Linked DNA regions of Sus scrofa. The protein of the gene in region 2 purifies or fractionates together with the protein of the main gene of each other region. This does not show direct contact. Links are inferred from orthologs where the notes say so. Each region holds a gene or a part of one and is shown on either strand. Other genes may lie near its edges. The genes, in order: KANSL1, KAT8, PHF20, MSL3 and PHF20L1.

Evidence for each region.
Region 1: the proteins of KAT8 (region 2) and KANSL1 purify together in Homo sapiens (affinity purification with western blotting; 4 studies listed by BioGRID and IntAct, with this or other methods). This does not show direct contact. The link is inferred for Sus scrofa from reciprocal best matches to the Homo sapiens genes KAT8 and KANSL1.
Region 3: the proteins of KAT8 (region 2) and PHF20 purify together in Homo sapiens (affinity purification with mass spectrometry; 3 studies listed by BioGRID and IntAct, counting the BioPlex papers as one, with this or other methods). This does not show direct contact. The link is inferred for Sus scrofa from reciprocal best matches to the Homo sapiens genes KAT8 and PHF20.
Region 4: the proteins of KAT8 (region 2) and MSL3 purify together in Homo sapiens (affinity purification with mass spectrometry; 4 studies listed by BioGRID and IntAct, with this or other methods). This does not show direct contact. The link is inferred for Sus scrofa from reciprocal best matches to the Homo sapiens genes KAT8 and MSL3.
Region 5: the proteins of KAT8 (region 2) and PHF20L1 purify together in Homo sapiens (affinity purification with mass spectrometry; 3 studies listed by BioGRID and IntAct, with this or other methods). This does not show direct contact. The link is inferred for Sus scrofa from reciprocal best matches to the Homo sapiens genes KAT8 and PHF20L1.

The regions. Positions count from the first base shown.
Region 1 is NC_010454.4:16,900,193-16,904,467, forward strand, and holds the start of KANSL1 (KAT8 regulatory NSL complex subunit 1), read left to right. Parts: upstream 1-1,419; 5' UTR 1,420-1,546; intron 1,547-1,947; exon of another isoform or gene 1,948-2,085; intron 2,086-3,259; 5' UTR 3,260-3,399; intron 3,400-4,275. UniProt on the Homo sapiens protein: Non-catalytic component of the NSL histone acetyltransferase complex, a multiprotein complex that mediates histone H4 acetylation at 'Lys-5'- and 'Lys-8' (H4K5ac and H4K8ac) at transcription start sites and promotes transcription initiation.
Region 2 is NC_010445.4:17,370,268-17,374,422, reverse strand, and holds the start of KAT8 (histone acetyltransferase KAT8), read left to right. Parts: upstream 1-1,312; 5' UTR 1,313-1,330; coding exon 1,331-1,541; intron 1,542-2,966; coding exon 2,967-3,041; intron 3,042-3,121; coding exon 3,122-3,297; intron 3,298-4,155.
Region 3 is NC_010459.5:39,091,358-39,095,704, forward strand, and holds the start of PHF20 (PHD finger protein 20), read left to right. Parts: upstream 1-1,467; 5' UTR 1,468-1,571; intron 1,572-4,347. UniProt on the Homo sapiens protein: Methyllysine-binding protein, component of the MOF histone acetyltransferase protein complex.
Region 4 is NC_010461.5:8,525,883-8,529,608, forward strand, and holds part of MSL3 (male-specific lethal 3 homolog), read left to right. Parts: intron 1-1,193; coding exon 1,194-1,456; intron 1,457-2,095; coding exon 2,096-2,205; intron 2,206-3,726. UniProt on the Homo sapiens protein: Non-catalytic component of the MSL histone acetyltransferase complex, a multiprotein complex that mediates the majority of histone H4 acetylation at 'Lys-16' (H4K16ac), an epigenetic mark that prevents chromatin compaction.
Region 5 is NC_010446.5:8,465,379-8,469,862, reverse strand, and holds the start of PHF20L1 (PHD finger protein 20-like protein 1), read left to right. Parts: upstream 1-1,568; 5' UTR 1,569-1,844; intron 1,845-2,051; exon of another isoform or gene 2,052-2,291; intron 2,292-4,006; exon of another isoform or gene 4,007-4,010; 5' UTR 4,011-4,043; coding exon 4,044-4,126; intron 4,127-4,484.

The DNA.
Region 1 (4,275 bases), on a different chromosome or scaffold from region 2:
AGAATATTGAGTAGAGTTCGCTGTGCTATACAGTAGGTCCTTGATGGTTATTTATTTTATATATAGTAGTGAGTATGTATTAGTCTCAAACTCCTACTATCCCTCCCCCATTGATCTTATTATTGAATGCATTTACTATAAAGCACATATATTACTATGCTACACTTTAAAAGATATTTTGAAAATTGTATTTTGCTATTACTGGTTTTCTTTGAATTCCTGCATATGTTTATTATGCATTTAAAAACATTCTGAGAAGGGTACATGGTTTGAAAAGGTTAAGAACTCTACTTTTTGGGTATTCTCTTTGTTTTCATTCTTATTGAGTAAGACTAAAGAGGGTCTCTGAAGTGAGTTGTAAGACCTGTGAGGCTCTCATAGTTTTATTATTTTTTTCTTTCCAGAGACCCTCCCTCCCTTAACTTTCATACCTCTGTTGGTAAGAATACTTTCATTATTCTGTTTTTCTTATCTCACGGACTCTCTTTCTGTTTCTTTTCCCACTCCTGACTTTTATTGTGGGTGTCTTTTAAATTTCTATCAGGAGTTTAATCTTTTAGCCTGCCATTGATCACTATATTTAGGTGGAGAGCTCTAAATCTCCCTTATTCCAGATTATCCACCCTTTCCCAAGTTCCATAGCTCTAGTAGCCTCTGGGACACATTCACTTGGTTTTACTACTGGTAGCTGGGACTGGACATATTAAAAACTAAGATTTCTTCCCAATTCTGCATGTTGTCCCACTTTGCCTGGACTACCATCTTATCTGTCCCCCTGGTTTTGCAACCTTATGATTATTTCAAAATTTAAGCCAATTAATTTCCAAAAAATGGGAATCTTTGTGAATGGTACAAAAATCGAAAGCTGCAAAAGGATATGCAGTGAAATGTAAGTCTTGCTCCCACCTGTTCCCCTCAGCTCCCCTCCCAGGAGGAAACCACTGTTACCAGTTCTTAGAGCGATTTTTGATTCTTTCTTATATTGGCTATATCTCAAGCCCTTCCTTGTCTGAGATGTGTGCCTTTTCCTCTCCTGGCTCTCATAACCTTATATCCGGTTGACTTTATATATAAGTATTTGTATGTGTATATTTTATATACATATATGAAATTTCCTCTCATGGCCTTCCGGCCTCAACTTTTCATCATGTAGCTTCCTGGATGAAGAACCTACAAGGGTGAGGGGCTGGGGTTGGGGGTGATGGAGAAGAGGATCTAAAGGGGACTTAGGTGGGGGTTCAGAGTGGCATACTGATGGGAAGCTCTGCCAGCATTTCTATTTCTTTTCCTTCCACCTGAGGCCCCCTTCCAGTCCTCCTATCCAAATGTCTCTTGTTTCCAAGAGCCGAGACAGAGACAGCGAGATAGAGAGACAGAGACGCCAAGGCACCAGCATCCCTCTCCCCCTCTGTCCCGCCCCACCGCTCTGACGGACATCCACCATTAGCCAATGGAGCCCCCGATGTCCCCCGGAAAGGCCAATGAGAGACAGAGGAGGGCGGAAGATTTCCCCGCCCCCACTTCTAGGCTTGGTTGAGCCGTGCAGGTAGGTCCGGGGCCGGGGTAGCCGCCGTTGGCACTGGTGCCCGGGGGGGTGGGGGCACAAGTCGGTAGGGGTGATGGTGGGGAAGAAGAGGCGGCCTCGACCTCTGGAGGCCGAGGGGGCGCCCCGGCCGGGAGGCGGGGAGCCGACGGGCCCGGGGAGCGGGCGCCGCCGAGGGCCCTGGAAACGGCTGGGCTGGGGGAGAGGGGACGTGTGTGTGGGGGGCATAGGGACCCCCGCCCCGCGCCCACCCGCAGGCCTGGGCTGCGGGCTCCCGGCTGAGGGGCCGGGGCCTGGTGCTCAGGGGGCGGGTTGGGCCGGGCCCGGGGATGGGGGCGCCGAGCAGAGCCCGGAGCGCCAGGCCGAGCCGAGGTGGGACGGACCGACGCGGAGAGGACGGGAAGCTGCATCCTGCGGGCCGCCCCCTCCTGAAGCGAGTCAGGGCAACCGCCACAGGCGCCTCTGCTCAGAGCCCACTCTCCTTATCGTCCCCTTCCCAACAATGGGTTTGGGCCAGGAAGGAGTCGCCCCACTGCGGGAAGGTGAGGGGGGTAGGTTTGGGACTAGGGTCCAAGGTGGGGGAGGGGTGGGAACTCGAGCTGTCCCCTTCTCCTCACCGGTTTGCTTTTGCGGTGGAGATCATGGAGTGGCTTAAACCCTCCCGAGACTGGGTCAAGAGTCAAACTGCCCCCCCCCCCACCTAACCCCTCCCCAATCCGACGAGCGGTGAGGAAAGTGATGCCAAGTCTTCGAAGCTGCTGTGATAAACGCATAGCAAGAACAAATCCACTCCAGAGGTTTTATTTTTAATTTTTCTTAGAAATGAGGGTACTATAGTCTTTAAATTTTAAACATTTATTTTAGAGAGGTGGGTGCTGTATTTTTGTCCCTATTCGGGCAAGCCTCCATTTTAAGTAAAACAGTAACTGGTTAAGCTGGAATTTTCATTCAGGCCTAGGACTTGAACAGGGATCCTACAAGAGGTCATTTAATCCATCCTCCTGCCTCCAGACAACCCTGCCTCCCTCCCATCCCCAGAATTAAGTTATTTGGTCTGCTTTTAAAGATCTCTAGGCAAGAAAGATCTCTTATTTGTTTATAACACTTCGATCAAGAATGGATTGTATTTTTCATGTAGAATGGGCTCTGCAACTTAAACTTAAGGAAATTTAGGACAATCAGAATGATCAGAGAGGTTTGATTTATTAAGTGAAATTAAAGGGTCTTTTTTAGGTGATCTATTAACAAGTTACTTTTTAATAGTGCTTATGAAATACCTTGGCTAATCATCTTTCTGTCTGGGGAAAATGGTTTTGGTTTTCTAATTATTTGATAACCAATTTTTGTATTATCTAAAATATGTGTTACATATTTAATCCAATTTTATGTAAAAATATATTTCTGCGTATGTATGGAGATGCATATATCACACACATTTGCCCCTTTCCAAAGGGGATGGTATTTTCTACATCTTTTTAAGATGGTGAGCAAATAGTACTTCAACTCTCTGTCCAGATAGCTTAAACTGGAGTTCCATTGTGGCTCAGCAGTTAATGAATCTGACTAGCATACAACTCTGCTTCGACCCCTAGCCTGGGAACTTCCATATGCCATGAGTCCGCCGCCCCTCCCCCCCCCCCGAAAAAAAGCAGATAACTTAAACTGTTTGCTTATTCTTGATTATTTTTTAATCTAAATGAAAGTCTTCTCTTTCAGATACCTTCTTGAAACAAAAAAATTTTTCCTACCTGCTCATACTTGGTGACAGAGGGGTTACTAAGACTCCTTCTTGCTCATTTCTGAGTATTGTCTGAACTATTCCTGACACTATGAATGCTGTTTGGATGCCTCTTAAGGTAAGATGTGTGTGGGTTTTTTTTGTTTGTTGTTTGTTTGTTTGTTTTAATTAAAGGTCTCACTGTATTTCTTTTTCTTTAGAATTGAGGATTTTCTAATTCTTGAATTTGCAGTTCGCCTTTCCCTTGAAAAAACTGCTGTTGTGTTTGCTTCTGAGGATTGATCAGTTCCTCTTTACTTTGTGTTGCTACTGTTCTTAACTACTGATATTCTCAGATTACAATAATGTGTTTATTTTTGACTTTAAATTATGACAGCCTACAAACTTATAAAACTGTGTTCCCAATCTCAGTAGGATGGATGGCAATTCAAACAGCCAGGTCCACTTTCAAACGAGTGCTTTAGTGTCATAGGTGCTAGGGTGTGTCCCACTCTTGCAAATCTGAAGCTGATTCATGTGTTACAAAAGATGTGTCACTAACCATTTGTTTACTCTGAAACTTCATTTTAGTGTATTAGAACATTCTAAGACCTGTTCCTCTACGTGTATAGTCTGTCGGAGGGTTCTCCTGCTACTTCCTAGTCCTTTGCATGTGAATTTATACTGTTTTTCTCAACAGGTAGCACTTTGTGCCAATTTTCATCTCATAGGATAAACCTCTTTGGGGCAGTGTGGACACATGAAAAAGCTCTTATTGATGTGGTGGTTCTCCAGTCTCTTGTTACTTCTAGTTTCTTGTACGTAGATGGCCAAAGGACTCTCTCCACTAGAACTAAGCAGAGGACAAGCTTAAGATACATGTAGGAGGAAACAGGGAGGGAGGATGGAGAGAAAAGTATGGAATGATGCAAGGCCCCCACCAGCTTACAGGTGGTACAGGTTGCCTTCTTCTAGAGCTAGATTCTAGTGTGGCTAAGATTGTTTTGTGGTATCT
Region 2 (4,155 bases):
TTGTTTCATATGCTGCTGGCATTTAATGCTCCCCTCAAACCTCTTTATTTCCCAAAAGCCAAGTTACCAGCACTTCCCACTGCCATCCCTCACAAAGACTTGCGTGTTTCCTGATCTGTAACCTCAGACTTAGACCTTAAGCATTCCACTTCTCTTAGAATTGTTTTAAGCCCAATAACCAAGTTATAAGTCAAAGATGACTCACAGTGGCCAAAGGGAGGGTTTAATTGAGCACGTACTCTGCCTGGCATTGCTCAATATACTTGTTTTATATTCATGGGATATATCTATATATATCTATATGGTTCAACCTTTATAGAGATACTTGACTTATAGTTTCATCTTTGACTATGCTCTTGGAACAAACACATTTCTACACCTTCCCGAGTTGGGTCAGAACCCAGGATTCCTAATTCACTCAGTCCAAGACGCTCTCCATTATGTCCACTGCCTTTGGCCAGTTTCTGTTTAGGGGACCTGACCCTTTCTTTACAAAGGCTTGATACTGTGAGAGTGGTTTACTAGCTGTCCCAGGATACACCGTTCTGCTTCCCCCACCCCAACTGTCTCCTTTTCCCATCCTAAACAAAGAAGGAAGGTTCTTCAATCTTCAAAAACGGGATGACCTGTATGTGGCTGGCGGAAGGGGGGGGGTGGGTGTTAGTTCCAGGCTCACCTCTAAAGCCAGACAGCCAGGGAGGCTGCTCTGGCTCCGCCCTGGTAAAGTGGAGGCAGTGCTCCCTGATAATTGGCATATCCTGGCTTTCTCAGGCACCAGGGCCTTTTAAAAGATCGATCTGAGGAGTTCCCGTCGTGGCGCAGTGGTTAACGAATCCATGAGGTTGCGGGTTCGGTCCCTGCCCTTGCTCAGTGGGTTACCGATCCGGTGTTGCCATGAGCTGTGGTGTAGGTTGCAGACGCGGCTTGGATCCAGCGTTGCTGTGGCTCTGGCGTAGGCCGGCAGCTACAGCTCCGATTCGACCCCTAGCCTGGGGACCTCCATATGCCGCGGGAGCGGCCCAATAAATAGCAAAAAAAGACAAAAAATATATATATATCGATCTGAGACATCACATCCGGAAAGCCTTTCTCCGCTCTCCAACTCCAGGGTGCAGCCACAGTTCCAAACGTCAGCCAAGTAACTCCAGAGCAACCGGCACTGTCAACGTCAATCTGGTCCGGCGCCGCGGAGACAGCCGCACTAGCCAATGAGCGCCTGCTACGTCACAGACCCCACCCTCCAGCCTACTGCGGCCTCCGCTACACGTCGCTGACCCGGAACTAAAGGCGCTGTGCGGCGCCGGATTCTGGCGTCACTTCCACTACAGCGATGGCGGCACAGGGAGCAGCTGCAGCCGTTGCGGCGGCGACTTCAGGGGTCGCGGGGGAGGGCGACCCCGGGCCTGGGGAGAATGCGGCGGTCGAGGGGACCGCCCCGTCCCCAGGCCGCGTCTCTCCGCCAACCCCGGCGCGGGGAGAGCCGGAAGTCACCGTGGAAATTGGAGAAACGTACCTGTGCCGGCGACCGGATAGCACCTGGCGTGAGGGCGGGGCCCAGGGCCAGGGGGCGGGGTTTATGGCCGGGGCGGGGCCTGAGCAGGGAGAACGCGGAGTTTCGGGCTCGCCCCGGCGCCGCCTGCAAACCCCACCTATCGGGTGTTAGCCAGATTCTTCCTGCTGTGTATAGAGCTCCCGCTCCACTTCCTTGCCCAGTCTTAGTCTTCATTCTCTTGTTAACCCGTTTCCTCACTGGTCGCCCTTGACCCTGTGACTTCCCCTTGCATCCGTCCCCGACAGCTGCCAGCGGAGAGGAGCTCCCAGAACACAGAAACGAACTTCCCCTTTTCTTCTATTATTTTGAGTCATTTCCATATTAACCCCAGAATTCCTTAGAATGGCTTTCATCTTTGTGACCTGTCTGGTTTTAGCAGCCCTAGTAAGGGCCGTTGCCAGACCAGACCACGCTGTCCACTCTTCAGACCACTTATGCCCTGTGCTTGGAATGCCCTACCCTTTTCCTTGTTTAGCCGGCTAGCCCCACTCATCCTTTTAGCATCATATCCCTCGTGATGCCATTCTTGACTCCCTTCAGGCAAAGTGAGTCGTTCCTTTGTGTGTTCCTGCAACATTTTCTACATACCTGAACCATGGTATATGTACCATTATGTTGTCTTTGTCTTCCTCTATCAAAGTGGGAACTTCTGGAGGGCAGGTCCATCCTGTGATCCATCACTGTATCCTCTGTACCCAGCAGCAACCCAGCCCAGGATCAGACAAGCAGGGGTTGCCTTACTCATTTCTTTAATGGTCTGCTATTTGTCAGATGCTATACTGAAAGCTTCAGAGCCATTAACTCACCATTTGAGGCGGACACAGCTGTCGTTATTTTGCAGATGAAGAAGCTGAGGCTCAGAAGGCCAAAATAACTTGTTCAGTTAAATACAGCTAGGAAGTGGGGCTGTGTTATTTCACAGCTAGTCCTCAGGACCCCTGAACAAACAAACCACTGAGTATTGAATTTGGAGCCAGACTTAAATTCAGATAAGTATTAGCTCTTACCATTATTCAAATAGGTGAGCCTGGGTAAGCCTCAGTTTCCTTATCTCTAAAATAAGAATAACAGCCCCCGTCTGGCCCACCTCAGACAGTGATTGAAGGGAGTGGCAGATGTGAACAGGTGAGGTCAGCTTACAGTTGGCCTTGGAACCTGGGAAACTGCTCCTCAGTGTGAAAGAGCATCCTTTTTTTTGGCCGCCCTGTGGCGTATGGAGTTCCAGGGATCAGATCGGAGCCACGATTGCAACCTACACTGGATCCTTAACCCATCGTGCCGGAGCAGGGATTAAACCTACATCCTAGTGCTCCCTAAACACTGCCGATCCTGTTGTGCCACAGTGGGAACTCCTGAAGGAGCACTCTTGCCCCAGTCCTGCTGTCTTACTTGATGCTCTTTTCTCCCTCCACAGATTCTGCTGAAGTGATCCAGTCTCGAGTGAACGATCAGGAGGGCCGAGAGGAATTCTATGTACACTATGTGGGCTGTGAGTGACTTGGGGTAGCCCCGGTCTGGGTGGGGTGGATGGGGGTGGAAGGGCAGCCCCCTCATGGCCCGTCCTCACAGTTAACCGGCGACTGGACGAATGGGTAGACAAGAACCGGCTGGCACTGACCAAGACAGTGAAGGATGCCGTGCAGAAGAACTCGGAGAAGTACCTGAGTGAGCTGGCTGAGCAGCCCGAGCGCAAGATCACTCGCAACCAAAAGCGCAAGCACGATGAGATCAACCACGTGCAGAAGGTCCGAGCCCTCCTTTCCCCAGGCGGCTCGAGGCAGCTCAGCTGCCTCTGCAGACTCCCTGGGCTCCCAGTACCAGAACCACAGCAGCTCCCATTTCTTAACCCCCTACCGGGTGTCGGGGACTTTACCTACCTCTTCACAGATAAGAAAACTGAGGCTCAGAGATGGCAAGGGCTTGGCTACAGTCTCACAGCAACGAAATGGCCCAGCTGGGACTGGAACTCAGGCCTCTTGCACCAGTGGCCTCTTTTGCCTCCCTCTCGGCTGTGCCGCCTTGACAGATGGATGTGAGGTCCAAAGGGGAGGAAGAGAGTGAGTGATTTGGGGCACTTGCTATTGCCAGGCGCCATGCAGAGTGCGGTACCTGTACAAGCTAATCAGATCCTCCCTAACAGCGCAGCACCACAGGGATAATAATTGAGGAAAGCAGGAAGGCTCAGCGAGGTTAAGTAACATGCCCAAGGTCACACTGCTAGTAAAAGGGTGGGCTGAAACTAGGGTAATAGTGGCAAACATTTATTGGCTTATGAGCCACAGTGTCAGGATAAGTGTTTTAATACTGATCTCATTGACGTTTCACAGCAACTCTGTGAGGTAAGCATTGTATCCCCAGTTCACAAGAGAGGTACAGGTAAGTTTAAGAACCCAGTCAAGAGTTAGATTTGCCAACTAGATTGTCCAACTTGGGGCACACGCCCTTGGACATAACTTTGAACATCTAGAAGCTCCATTTATTTGCAAAACCTGGGTTTTTTCTTGAAGCCAGCCTGCAGAGGTTTCTTTCCTTCCACTCTGAACCTCAGTTTCTTGATTTGTGAAATGAGGCGTGCAGATGAGAACAGAGGTCGTGGAACTCTC
Region 3 (4,347 bases), on a different chromosome or scaffold from region 2:
GCAGGAGAGTCTGGGGTTAGCAGATGCATTATTATGTATAGAATGGATAAACAACAAAGTCCTATTGTATAGCACAGGGAACTATATTCAATATCCCATGGTAAACAATATGGGAAAGAATATAATAGAAGGTATAGGAGAATGTATGGGAGGTGGTGCAGCAGGTTAAGGATCCGCATTGCTGCAGCTGTGGCACAGGTTGCAGCTGTGGCAGAGGTTAGATCCCTGGCTGGGAACCCCCACATGCCAGCAGTTTTGGTCAAAAAAAAAAAAAAAACTATATATGCGTATCACTGAGTCACTTTGCTGTACAGTGGAAATTAATACAATATTGTAAATCAACTACTCTTTAATTAATACATTTTAAAAAAGAAAAAAAATGTGAATTAAAACCATAATGTGCTACCACTTCACACTCACTGGAATAGTTATAACAATAGAAAAACAGAAAAAAAAAAAAAGAAGACTTCACTGAGAAGATGACAAACAGATCTTTAAAGAGTCAGATTTGCCAAAAGCAACAGCCTCGTCAATGGCCTAGCACCTGGAAAGAGAATGGAACCAAAAAAATGGACAGCAGGTCATTGTGGCCAAAGGGTTAGCAGGGAGGAGAGTATTTGAAGGAGAGATTGGTTGTTTTAAGCAGGGGGAGTGACATGATTACATTTACATTTTAAGAAGTGCAATCTAGCGACCCAGTTTTTCCAATATAAAATAAAGTCGTTGTTGCCTTTCTAAAAAAAAACAAATGTTTAGCATTTCTCTTTAGGACTTCCCAAGTCTCATTGGGAAAGCATCTCAGACCCTTCTGAGGCTTCCTCCTTAATCCTTTGAGGCAGAATACAGCTCGTCTCCACACCAGCTATTGGAATCCTTTCCAAGAAGTTAATGAGGTAAAGTGGAGGAGAGATGAGGGCAAAAACCCTGAGGCAGGAACGAACCTGGCTTGTTTGGGGACCTGAAGGATGCTAAGATCTGAATGTGTGAGAATGCGAGAGAGGCACATTAGGCACAGACTCTGAAAAGCCTGATAGAATACAATGATGATTTAGATCTTAATCTGAAGAACAGTGAGTAATGAGTTTTGAGCAGGGGATGGCTGTGACTATAGCTGCGTTTTGAAAAGCTCCAGCTGAGTGTGAAGAATGGATTGGAAGGGGTAAGAGTAAGGAGATGGAGAAGATAATAACCACCATCCAGAAGAGAGTTTAAGGTGGACTAGAGTGGAATGTTGGCAGCGGGATGGAGAGAAGTAGGAGGCTTCGAGATGCATTTAGGAGGCAAAATTAACAGGCGAATCGGTACTTCGTGCTTCGGATCCGGGCGCAGGCCAGTTCCCGCGCGTCAGGGCCGTGGGTGTGACCCGCCAGGGCCGTCGCCACGGTGATAGGGACGGGGCGGGGCCAAGGGCGGGGCAGTTGAGGCGCTGCGTCACTCGGTGGTGGCGATGGTGCGTGTGTGTGGGGGGCGGGGGATACGCTGGGCGCGTCCCGGGGGTCACGTGGTGCGCAGCACGCAGAGCCCTTCTGTCGGTTGGTCCTGGAGCGGCGCAGCCGGAGCGGGGCTGTGAGGTGAGCTCGCGGCGAGGCGCGGCGAGGCGAAGCCGGCTGGCTGGGGCCGGGTCGGGTCGGGCCCGCGCCGCGCGCGCGCGCTTGCGCGCGCCGTGCGGGCAGGGACGGTGACGGACGCCACCGCTGCTCCGGTCCCCTGCCCGGCCCCGCTCCCCGCCTGGCCCAGCTTGCCCAGCCTGGAGGGAGGCCCAGGGACCGCTGTCGAGAGCGTGGCGGGCGTGCGAGCGGCACCCAATCCCCAGGGCTGCCCGCGAGAGTGACAGTGGCTGCGACCAATCAGCGCCGCCCGAGGGGGCTGAGCCGCGGGGTGCGGGCCCCGGGCGCGGAGCGGGCCGTGTTGGGGGTGGGGGGTAAGCGCTAGGGCTGGATCCTCAGCTCTGTGGCCCCGGAGGGCTCCACCACCAACCCCTGCTGTTTCCTTGTGCTTCGGGAACGCGTTTTCTTTTCTTGACTCTTTTATCGTATTCTGGGGAGCACACCCCTTCTCCAAGCCCTTGACTATGGGAGTGTCCCCTTTCTCTATAGTTTTGCAAAATGTGGTCGGTGCATCCCCTTTCTTAAGCTCTAGCCATGGAGTTTTATCTTAATTTGTAGAGCCTCCTCAACTGAGGATGTACCTCCTGACCCACGACCCCCTCAGTCTGGGAGGGCACTCCCATTTCGAGCCTCCAGTTGAATAAGCATTTCCTTTCAAATTTGGGGGTTCATCCCATTAGCGAGTCTAAAATCTGGAGCCCAGGAACCAGAGTTTTGGGAGTACTTATGTTCCCATAAATCCAAGGAAGAATCTCCTTTTCTAGGCCCAAAATCTGGTAACGTGCTTTCCAGAATTTCTTCATTGTAGGGGCTGCTTCCTCTCCTAACCCTTCAAATCTGGGCGTGCACTTCATTACCAGTCTCGAAAATGAGATTCAAATCCTGAAGTTTGGGAATACATATTTGTATTTATACAAGAGAATTCAGTGTTTTTTTTTTTTTTTCAGTCACTCTCTTCTTGGAGTTGCATCCTTTTTCATGAGTCCTCCAAATCAGACCACCTTATTTCCTGGGGGAGACTTACTTTCTTACGTTAAAGTGTGCTTGGTTCTAGTGCCCCCCAAATGTACAGCATGCACTCCTTCGGTTATGCAGGATGTAGGCACCTTTCTGATGCTTATTATATCCAGAGGGCACACCTTTTTTCTGAGTCCTCTTATTTCCAGGGGATGGTTTGTGGTTCTTAAGCTTTTCTGCCATCCAAGATATTTTCTGTCCTCAGTTTTCTTCCCTCTTTGGAACCACGTTTCCCTTTAGTTGGTCTCTCTGGTCAGTGCACCTATTTCCTCTTCCTTCCTTTGGTGAATGTATATGTTTTTTCAGCCCTACACTTTCTATGCTTCTGTGGCCTTTTTTTCTGAGCACACTTCCTATGTTCATACCTCTAAATTCCCCGCCCCCCCCCCCCCCCCCCCCGCACATTTTCTTTCTTGTGTCTTCTCTCTTATCTTTCTGCTAACAGGAACTCTTTCCTTTTGGCTTGCCCTATCCCTGGGGCATTTTTTTTCTGGTTTCTTTCTTCCTTTGGAAACTGTTCTGCTTGCTGGTAGCTCTACAGATTTTCCCCTTTCTTCCCCTTGCTCTGGAAGTGGCCTCAAGTCCAGGACTGCCTGACTCCCCAGGGCTGGATTTAAACAGAAAGGAATTCCCTTGCATTTCTCTGATTATTCACAGGGTTCTTAATCTTCCTGGTGGTTTGCTTCCTATAAGAGTCTGATTAGATGGGCACTATTTTCTCCTTTGCTTCGTTTCCCTTCATTGGGGAAAAAAAACAAAAGGAAAAAAACCCTCGAGATTCTTTAGTTTTGCTTTCAGCTCATAAACGTCTTCCCTACATTGGGTTCCTTCCTTTCTTTTATCAGGAGAAGAGGTAATTTGGAGGAATTTCCTGGTCACTCTTTTTTTCTTGTTCCTGGGGTACAGGTGGGGGGCATGAATATTTATCTCTCCTTGTAATCCTCTCACTTAGCTGCCTAGCCTTTCTCCTAACCCCCACCTTAAAATCTGCAAATGTCTGAGACCCCTTTTCTCTTAAAAGCCTCTCACTAGGTTCTTTTCTTTTGTGTTTCCCTCTGTCTTTCCAGATTTTACTCAGGGCTTCTCAGCCAGAACCCTAACCAGATTAATTTCTCCGCAGCTGGAATCTCAAGTGCTTATGGGATAATGACACCTCTGACCTTTCTCCTTTTTGGGAAGTACTTGAGTGTGCAGCTGTATGAGGCCTCAGTGGGGGAGAGAGTTTGAGGCTGAGAAGCTACCCTGGCAGGATAAGTCAGGAAAATACTGCATTTTCAGGACCATGTCCTTCTGAATCTCATTTGAGGATTGGATGTTTGCCAAGCACCTGCTTCTTAGGGATGCTGGGAGATTTAATGATACTCCCAGGAACCTGTAGGAGTTATTGAGGCTTGTGGAGAAGTGCTCTGAACTCAGTGTTGGAACTTGAATAAAATTAATCGTTGTATTTTCAAAACAACGAAGTTGATTTATATTTCATGTGTGTGAAAACCCTAGATCTGTGATACTTCAGGAAGTGAAAATAGATCCCACATTTAGATCATATGGTCACCAGTAAGTACAAATTCATTAAAAAAAGTTGGAGGTCTGGGCAGTACCTAATAAAATATGGTTTACAGAAAGCAAACAGGTACTTTGTCTCTTATTTGCCTATTTGGTATTCTATCTGTGTTCTACTATATATAGTCCCACCCTTAAAGTGTTCTGCACCAGTGCTTCTCAA
Region 4 (3,726 bases), on a different chromosome or scaffold from region 2:
GGGAGTGGCCCTAGAAAAGGCAAAGAGACAAGAAAATAAAAAATAAAAAGTACCCTGTAAAAAAAAAAAAAAGAAAAGAAAAAAAGAAAGAACATTGGCTTCCGCAGATAGTTATTAAATGAGGAAGTTTGCGAAGGTCCAGCCACCTTTGGCCTTCAAGGAGGGGTTAGTTTCCTTCCCGCTCTGCTGTGTCACCACTTTCTTCCCTCGGTGACCCAGCATGCCCACATCTCTATTCTTTGGGGGGAACAAAAGTCCCCCCCACCTACCGTCAGCTACTTCCCTATCTGCCTAAGGCCTCTCTTCCCGAGTGAGAGAGTGGTCCCGTCTCGTGATTGCCACTCAGCCCTCTCTTCTTGGGTGTTTAGGGTCTGCCTTTGTGTCCCACCTCCCTCTGCTCCCCAGGGCACTGGCGCCTTCCCATTTGCCGCACCCCGCGTCGGTCACCCTCCCCTTCCCAGGGGGCCTGTCTCCTGGTTCTCGGTCTGCCTCCTGGCCGTCTCTTCTCAGCCCACTTTCCTTCCCCGTTGATTCCGCCCCCCTGGAGAGGCCCATGTGACTCACTGGGGACCTCTGTGGATGTCCCTCTGCCCTGCTCGCAACCTTGAGGTTCCCAGTGTCTGGGGTGGACTGTGTGTTTCTGCAAAGCTTGGGCAGCGTGGGCGGCGTCTCCTGTCCTCTCTCCGTGGTTCCGTGGCGCTGGGACAGTGTGGAATTCTTCCTCTCTCGCCCGGGCTTTCTCAGCCTCGGCTTTCCTGGTGTTTTGACCTGTGTCGCCCTTGGCAGTGGGCCGCCCTGTGCACTCTGGGCTGCTGTGCTGCATGCCGGGCTTCTCCCGCATTGGATGCCCGTCGCGTTTTTCTGGTCGTGACAGTCCGAGCTCTTCGGAGGGTGTCAGTGTCCCTGGCAGAGTGGAATCACTGCCTACTGAGACCCCTAGGAAGGGGCACCACCGTCTTAAATGCCAGTGTGCCTTGAAGAGTCACTGAGAGCATTCAAGCGACAGAGTGTGTGTCCTGTTACTTTTTAAGAAAAATCCCTGTTTTGGCCCATTTGGAAGTGAGTTTCTGGCCCTGCTGGGGCGGAGTGGCCGGTGCGCTTACTGTCTGGAGGAGGACACTGCGGATTCCCTCCAGGTCTGGCAGCAACTCGGCAGGCCAGGCACCTGTCACGTTTTGCGCTTTCTTCCCTAGGAACCAGGAGGAGCTCTCGCCAAGCCCACCTTTGTTGAATCCGTCCACACCACAGTCCACGGAGAGCCAGCCAACCACCGGCGAGCCAGCCACCCCCAAGAGGCGCAAAGCCGAGCCCGAAGCCTTGCAGTCCCTGAGGCGGTCCACGCGCCACTCCGCCAACTGCGACAGGCTGTCTGAGAGCAGCGCCTCTCCTCAGCCCAAGCGCCGGCAGCAGGACACGTCGGCCAGCATGCCCAAGCTCTTCCTCCACCTGGAAAAGAGTAGGTCCCTCCCCCGGGCGGACAGAGCGGACGTCTCCTTCGTGCTTGGGCTGGGCCTGGCCCTGCGCTGCGGGAAGGAGTCCGGCGGCAGGAGGGGCTGGGGAAGCACGGGCCGAGCACGCGGTCCCAGCCAGACTCGCCAGCTCGGCTGCGGGAACTCGACTTGGGAGGGTGGCCTGCCGGAGGCTCCCGAGGCACATGCCCTCATCGGCAGTCAGCTGGGCGAAGGCAGCTCGCCCAGGCCTTCAGCTCAGCGCGGCTCAGGAGGCCGTTGGCAGTGCCTCCCTATGCCCCCATCCCAGCCCTAATCTGTCACATGAGGCAGCCACTCCTCCCTTCTTGTTCCTATGCATTCGCCTCTTCTGGGCCTGAATTCCTCTCCGTGGAATCAGACAGTACGTGGCCTTTGGTCTGTGGCTTCTTTCTCTTGCCATAACGTGTTCCGGGTTCATCACGTTGCAGCATGTATCCCTACTTGACGCCTTTTCTTTCCTTTTTCCCCACCAAATAATAGTCCAGGGACCGTCTTTCATCGGAAGGTCTTACTGTTACAGATGAATACGTTCCCTGTTGTTGGTAATAGTCTGGCAGCAGCCCTGTGATTTACAGGTGAATAACCAACATTGTTTCCTTTTGAAGAGACGCCTGTTCATAGCAGATCTTCCTCGCCTGTTCCTCTAACCCCCAGCAAGGAAGGGAGCACGGTGTTTGCTGGCTTTGAAGGCAGAAGAACTAATGAAATCAATGAGGTAAAGCGTTCGTGTCTGTTGTTCATCCCCAGCGAGTCTTGGCTCCCGCAGTTGCTCAAGTCCCGGGGAGGAAACAGAGTCTCCTTAGAAGAAACATTATGTCGCACTTGCCCTGGATGTTAACAGAAGGGTTCACACGAAGTGTGACATTGTGTTCATTGTGTCTAAGATGAAACAGTGGTCCGGACACCAGCCCTACACTTAACGCTCATCTTTTGTTTCAGAGAAGTAGGAGTGTTTTCATTTTATAGAACAGTTGTCAGCACACTTTTTCTGCAAAAGGCCAGGGGCTAGATATTTTAAAGCTTGTGGGCCACACGGTTGCCATCAAGACGCCCCCCAGCTCCACAGCAGGTGTAGACACTATATGTAAGTGAATGAGTGTGTCGTGTCACAATAGCATGTTATTGATGGATGCTGAAATTTGAATATCAGATAATTTTTGTAAGTTATGAGATAATATTCTGCTTTGGGTATTTTTCCAACCATTTAAAAATATAAAACCCATCCTTAACAGTAATATTTTTAAGGCCAGTTAACTGAAGCGGATAGCGTTTCAGGAGTTCCGGAGATGCCTTCGTTCGCTGGGCTGTCCTGTTAATCTTGCTGAGGGGGTGGAGCTTCCTTGCTTCTGTACACAGACAAAGACGGCTTTGCTACACCGAATGTTTGATGACGGGGTTTCGGCAAACTTTTCTTATAAAAGGTCTGATTGAATATTTTCGGGGTTGTGCACCAGTGTGAAGGCGGTGTGGACAGTTCACAAATGAGCAGGTGTTCTGTGTGCCCCCCCCCCCGATTCATTCATGCACGCTGGTGATCGAATTGCATAGGATTTTCATATGTTGTGAAATATTATTTGATTTTTTGAACTATTTATAAACATAACTTTTAGCACACGCAGGTTGGATTTGGCACAAGGGCTGTTAAGTTGGCTGACCCCTGACAGAAAACCCAGTTTGTGTTACAGTGGTGTTTAACGAAGGTTAGGAAATTTCTGCTACAAGCAGTCACTAATATCCCGTTTTTTGAGACAAGAAGGCCCTGCCCGTGCTATTATTCAAGGGGAGTCCTCTTTCTCAACGTGTGACTATTGAGGCAGGGCCATTCCCACTCTGGTCACTGGCGCAAGGCCACCATCTAGTGGTTGTAGGCACAGCTGCAAGCGCTCGCGAAGAAGTAGGATTTTCCTAGTAAACAGTCGGAATCAGGGGGGCTCTCACAGTGATGCTCGAGACCTTAGTGCTTTCCCCGCTCTGCAAGTGCTTCGGCTGCAGCCTCCTTTTAACCAGGGCTCTGCACACTGACCACCTGAGACTCTCCCAGTGGTCTTTGCTGCCCCGTCGCATCAGGGGGAAGTCTGGACTTGCACATTCCTGGCTGGGATCACAGCCCATGCACACCCCAGCAGAGAATCCCTCCGCTGGAAAACTATTATTTCCTCCCCCCACCCATGCAACTTTGATCAGTAGGAGGTGGTTTACTGCACTGAGGTGCAGAATTGAGTGAGGGAGGTAGACT
Region 5 (4,484 bases), on a different chromosome or scaffold from region 2:
ACAGTTCTCAGTGAAAGGGTCTAAGAACAGAACTTTATCTGCAAGGGAAACTGGGATCATGATTTTTGTTTTCTACATTTTCACCCTATTTAGTGTGAGGTTCACTTTGCCCCAAGACTCATAAGGTGGAAGTATATGTCAGTTTGCATTAGGTTATTCTGTGCAACAAACAATTTCAATATCTCAAACCAACAAATATTGACTTTTTTCCTTATACTACACATCACTTGTGGCTTAGCATCAGCATCATCATAATCCATTTAGAACATGGGTTGTTAGAGCAGCCACCATGTCAAAAATTGCCTTTTGCTTTGCCAGAGACAGAAAGCTGGGAGAACTGGCTTTTTAAATTAGCAACTGGCCATAAAAAAATTTGCCTCCAATTTCATTTTATTAGCCAAAGCAAATCAGATGGTCATACATAATTCTAAGGAGGGTGTAAAGTATTATCCTGCCGTGTGTACAGAAGATTCTGGAAAGATATGGAGTACTGCCATTAATTGCAACTATGATGGGAAATTTCCCAAACATGGGGAATTGATTATTTCAAATGCCCGGCAACCAAAAACTAAGAAGACGTAAGTCCACTAGACACTGTCTTTATTTATGTTTTCTATACTGCCATGCTCAAGTCTAATTCAGTAGCTATTAGTAACACAGTAAGTGCTGATTAAATGTGTTGAATAAAAGGATATGAGTGTGGTTGTTTAAATTACTGAATCTCACTATAATTGAAGCTTAAAGAGTGATACTATGCTATTTTAACTCCACTCTGTAAAGCATGATAAATGTGTTATTTTTATGCAATGTTGTATTTAGAAAGCTTGAGAACTAGAGTAGCACCATGGAAAGAGAGTGATTAAAGATGCTGCATTTCAATATTGTTTTAAATGTGTTCACTTGTTGGTTTCCCCTACAGTGTGCCTAGTACAGAGTTTGGGATATGACAGGTGTTCAAGAAGAGTAGTTGTGTCTTTGGGAAAGTCACATCAATTTAACCGAAGATCTTCAGCTGCATGTGTACATGCACGCACCCCCACACAGAATGTCTTAGGAATATTTGCCTTTTGTGTTCTAAGGATCTCCTAGACTACAGAGCAATACAATTGTGCGATTGTGGTTGTCATGTGATGTACTTACAGCGCAGTGCCTGTCACAAAGTATTCATTCAGTAGAAGTTTCCTTATTTCGTAACAGTAACCACTTGCTCTATTCTTAATGTGGAATGGGGTGGATAGCTGAGAAAATGCGCATTTACAAAAGTTTGCCCAGAACGCTGGGATTGAGGCATTTTGACAACCTGGTTCCTCACAAATCAACAACAGTAGCATTCGATGGGCTTCGACCTCATCACTCAAATGTCAAAAGATTTCACAACTGCCAATGGGGTCCCGGAGCCCGCGTTCCTTCCGTCGCGAACCAGGGCTCCTCCCACTAGCGACCAGCCAACTGCCGCATAGCCCCGCCTCCCAGGGCGGCCCTCCAATCGGCCGCCCCGCCCCGGCCCAACCCTCGCGCGTCACGTGACACGGCCAGGCCCGCTTCCGGCGCGTCGCGGGCGGCTGACGTCGCCGGGGCCCGGCGTCGCGTCAGGGCTGGCCGGCGGCGGCGGCGGCGGCGGAGGAGGCGATGGCAGTGGACACCGAGCGGGCTTGAAGGGCTCGGACCTGCTCCCTCCCGCGCGACCTCGGGCCCGACCCAGCGCTGCGGTCCCAGCGCGCTCCGCTCCTGCTCGCTCCCCGACCGCTGCCCGGGCGGAGGCGGAGGCCCGGGCTGGCCGTCCTGTTTGCGCCCCGGCTCGGCCCCGGACGGCCCGGCAACTGTGCAAAGAGGAGGCCGAGTCGGTAAGAGGCGGCGGCGGCGGCGGCAGGGCCTGGCTGCCGCTTGGCTCCCTCCTGGCCGCCAGGGACACCCCCGCGCTGGTGTCTCTCTTGGGCCCGCTCCCCTCCCTCATCCCTCCCCTTAACTCGCCGCCCCTATTGTCTGGGCTCTGCCGCTCCCTCTACCCCTCCCTTCCTTCCCCCCTTCGGAGGGCCGGAGGGCTGTCAAACCTGGAGGCTTCTCCTGCTCCCCGCTTGCGGGCCGGGTCTGAGCCTTTCTGGTCTATTTCTGGCCAACCCCCTCCCACCCCTATCACCTCTCCCCCTTTATTTGGCCTCGCGGCTGTTCTTTGACCAACGTTTTACTTTCCCAGCGTTGTATCTTCTTGCTAATTTTCTCTTTCCTCTCGTTTGTCATGTCCGCAAGTTTCACCACCCTGACGTATTTTTGCTTTCTTGTTCGTTTTCCTTCCCGATTTTATTTCTCTCCCCTTTCCTATGTCCCCTTTTCTGTTTTTGCTTCAAGGCTGTCCCCAATAGACTCTCTTACTTTGTCTTACTTTTTCTTAATTCAAATCCCTCCCCATCCTCCCCTCTCCAGCCAAGAAAAAGGAAATCTTGCCTGTTCTGGTGCCTCATCCCGAAGTATCACTGCGGCGGTTATATGCCTTAACTCTTGTCACTTCTATGGGTTCTATATTTGATCCTAGAAAATGTTCGTGTAACTGGTAGATTACCCCTTACTAAGTTCTTTCTGTGAAGAACAGCAGAAAAAATGGATTAGATTTCTACACAAACATTTAAGTAACTGCTTTGTATGTTGCACACTGATCAGACCGCTAATAAAAATATTCATACTATTGTTTCTTTTACACCAGATGCCGTCTGGCTGAGCTTACTGTTAACTTTAATGCACTGGTTTTTGCTGCTGCCAAGGCAGGCAGGAGCATAGCTTCCCCCGCCCTCCTCCCCACCTCCCCATGAGTGTTTAAGTTTGATCTTAACATGTTTTTATGGCATGTATTGGGGTTGTATTTGGCATGTATTTTGCACTTGTTTTCCTTCGTCTGTCAGATTCTTTGAAAGAGGAAAAGGCAGTTTTGGTTTTTATATTTGCTGTTGGTGTTTGTCCCTTTTAAACCCCTGAAAAAACACGACACAGTTGTGTGTTTTCTTTTTAAAACTGAGAGGGAGCATAGTCTTATTAATAATTCTAAATATCAAAAAGGTTTTAGGGATTTTTCCTCTCCCCCAGTAACAGTAGGTTTGCTTTCCTGACTGGGTGTTATATTTTGATGGCTAGCTTATAACGCATTCATATGTTTCAGGTGCTGGTTAGTGAAAAAGAGGCTCCCTCAGATAATGCTGGGCAGCCACTGGCCAAAAGGATAGTGGATATTCCACATGTCCATGGTCTAGGAAGGAATAAGTATTCCTTTGTAGCTTCTTGTTTGTTTAAACGTACAGCCCTTTTACTGACAGTGTGAGCACTGTTTATATTGAAATATAGTGGAAATAAATTCTCAGAGCTAAAAAAATCCATATCCTTGTTGGTTATTGAATGTGAAGAATTAGAAGGGAATTTCCTTTGCAACTTTATATGTTAAATTAAAATCGTTGAATCATATGCTACCAATATGGGAGATCACAGGTAATGATAAACCCTAATCACAAGAGGAATTATTAAAATCATCACTAGAGGAGGAGTGTCTACTGCTTCTTCCTTTTTTGTACTCTTTAGTGTCTTATTAAGTGTTTTGTATTATAAGCCACTTAAATAAATATTTGTTGAAAAACTTGGTTAACTTTTTCTAAGAATTTCAGTAGTCATATTCCAGAACACTCAGTGGTCATGACTTTTCAAAGATGGAAACATTTTCACCCATTATCATGGAGAATTTTCTTGGGCGTTTTCAAGTTAAAATTTAAAGCGTTTTAGCCATTAGCTAATTTTAACCCCATCTAGTCATTCTTTTAAAATAGTTATCTTTCTAATATGCTTTTTCTTAATTCAGTATTAAGATTGTAAGTTGTTCCATACTTTACCTAGAGATACTTATAATCATCATTCAAATTTCCAAAAAACTGCACAGTTATTTTAAACTCTCATGTAATTTTTTTAAATTCTGTTTAATTCCTTATGCCTTTTATGCATCAGAGTCTAACTTTTTTTTTTTTCTCTTGAGGTAGTGAAAAGAGAATCCTGAAGAATAGGATCTCAAGATGAGTAAAAAGCCCCCAAATCGTCCTGGAATCACTTTTGAGATTGGTGCTCGTTTGGAGGCACTGGACTACTTACAAAAATGGTATGGAAGATAAGGAGCTCTTGCCTTAACGCACAGTGTCTGCTGTCTCAGTGGGTTGGCTAATTGCTCTTCTCCTGACAGTGGCAGAAACATTAAAGTGTTCAGATTTCGAATAAACATATACATTGTATTTTAGCTTTCCTGCTCTTCAACAGATTTTCACAGGTATCAGTCCTTGTGTGTACTTAATATGAACTCTCTTTGGTAGTGGGAGGGAGAGGATTAATCCAGATAACCACGTTCCCAAGTCGTGGATAAAGTTCGATATAAACCCCTTTTCTTGGCCTTTGTCAGAGGTGGTCTTTCAAACCATAGCGTGTGTTGACGGTTAGCATCTAAAACCAAAACCCCATTTATC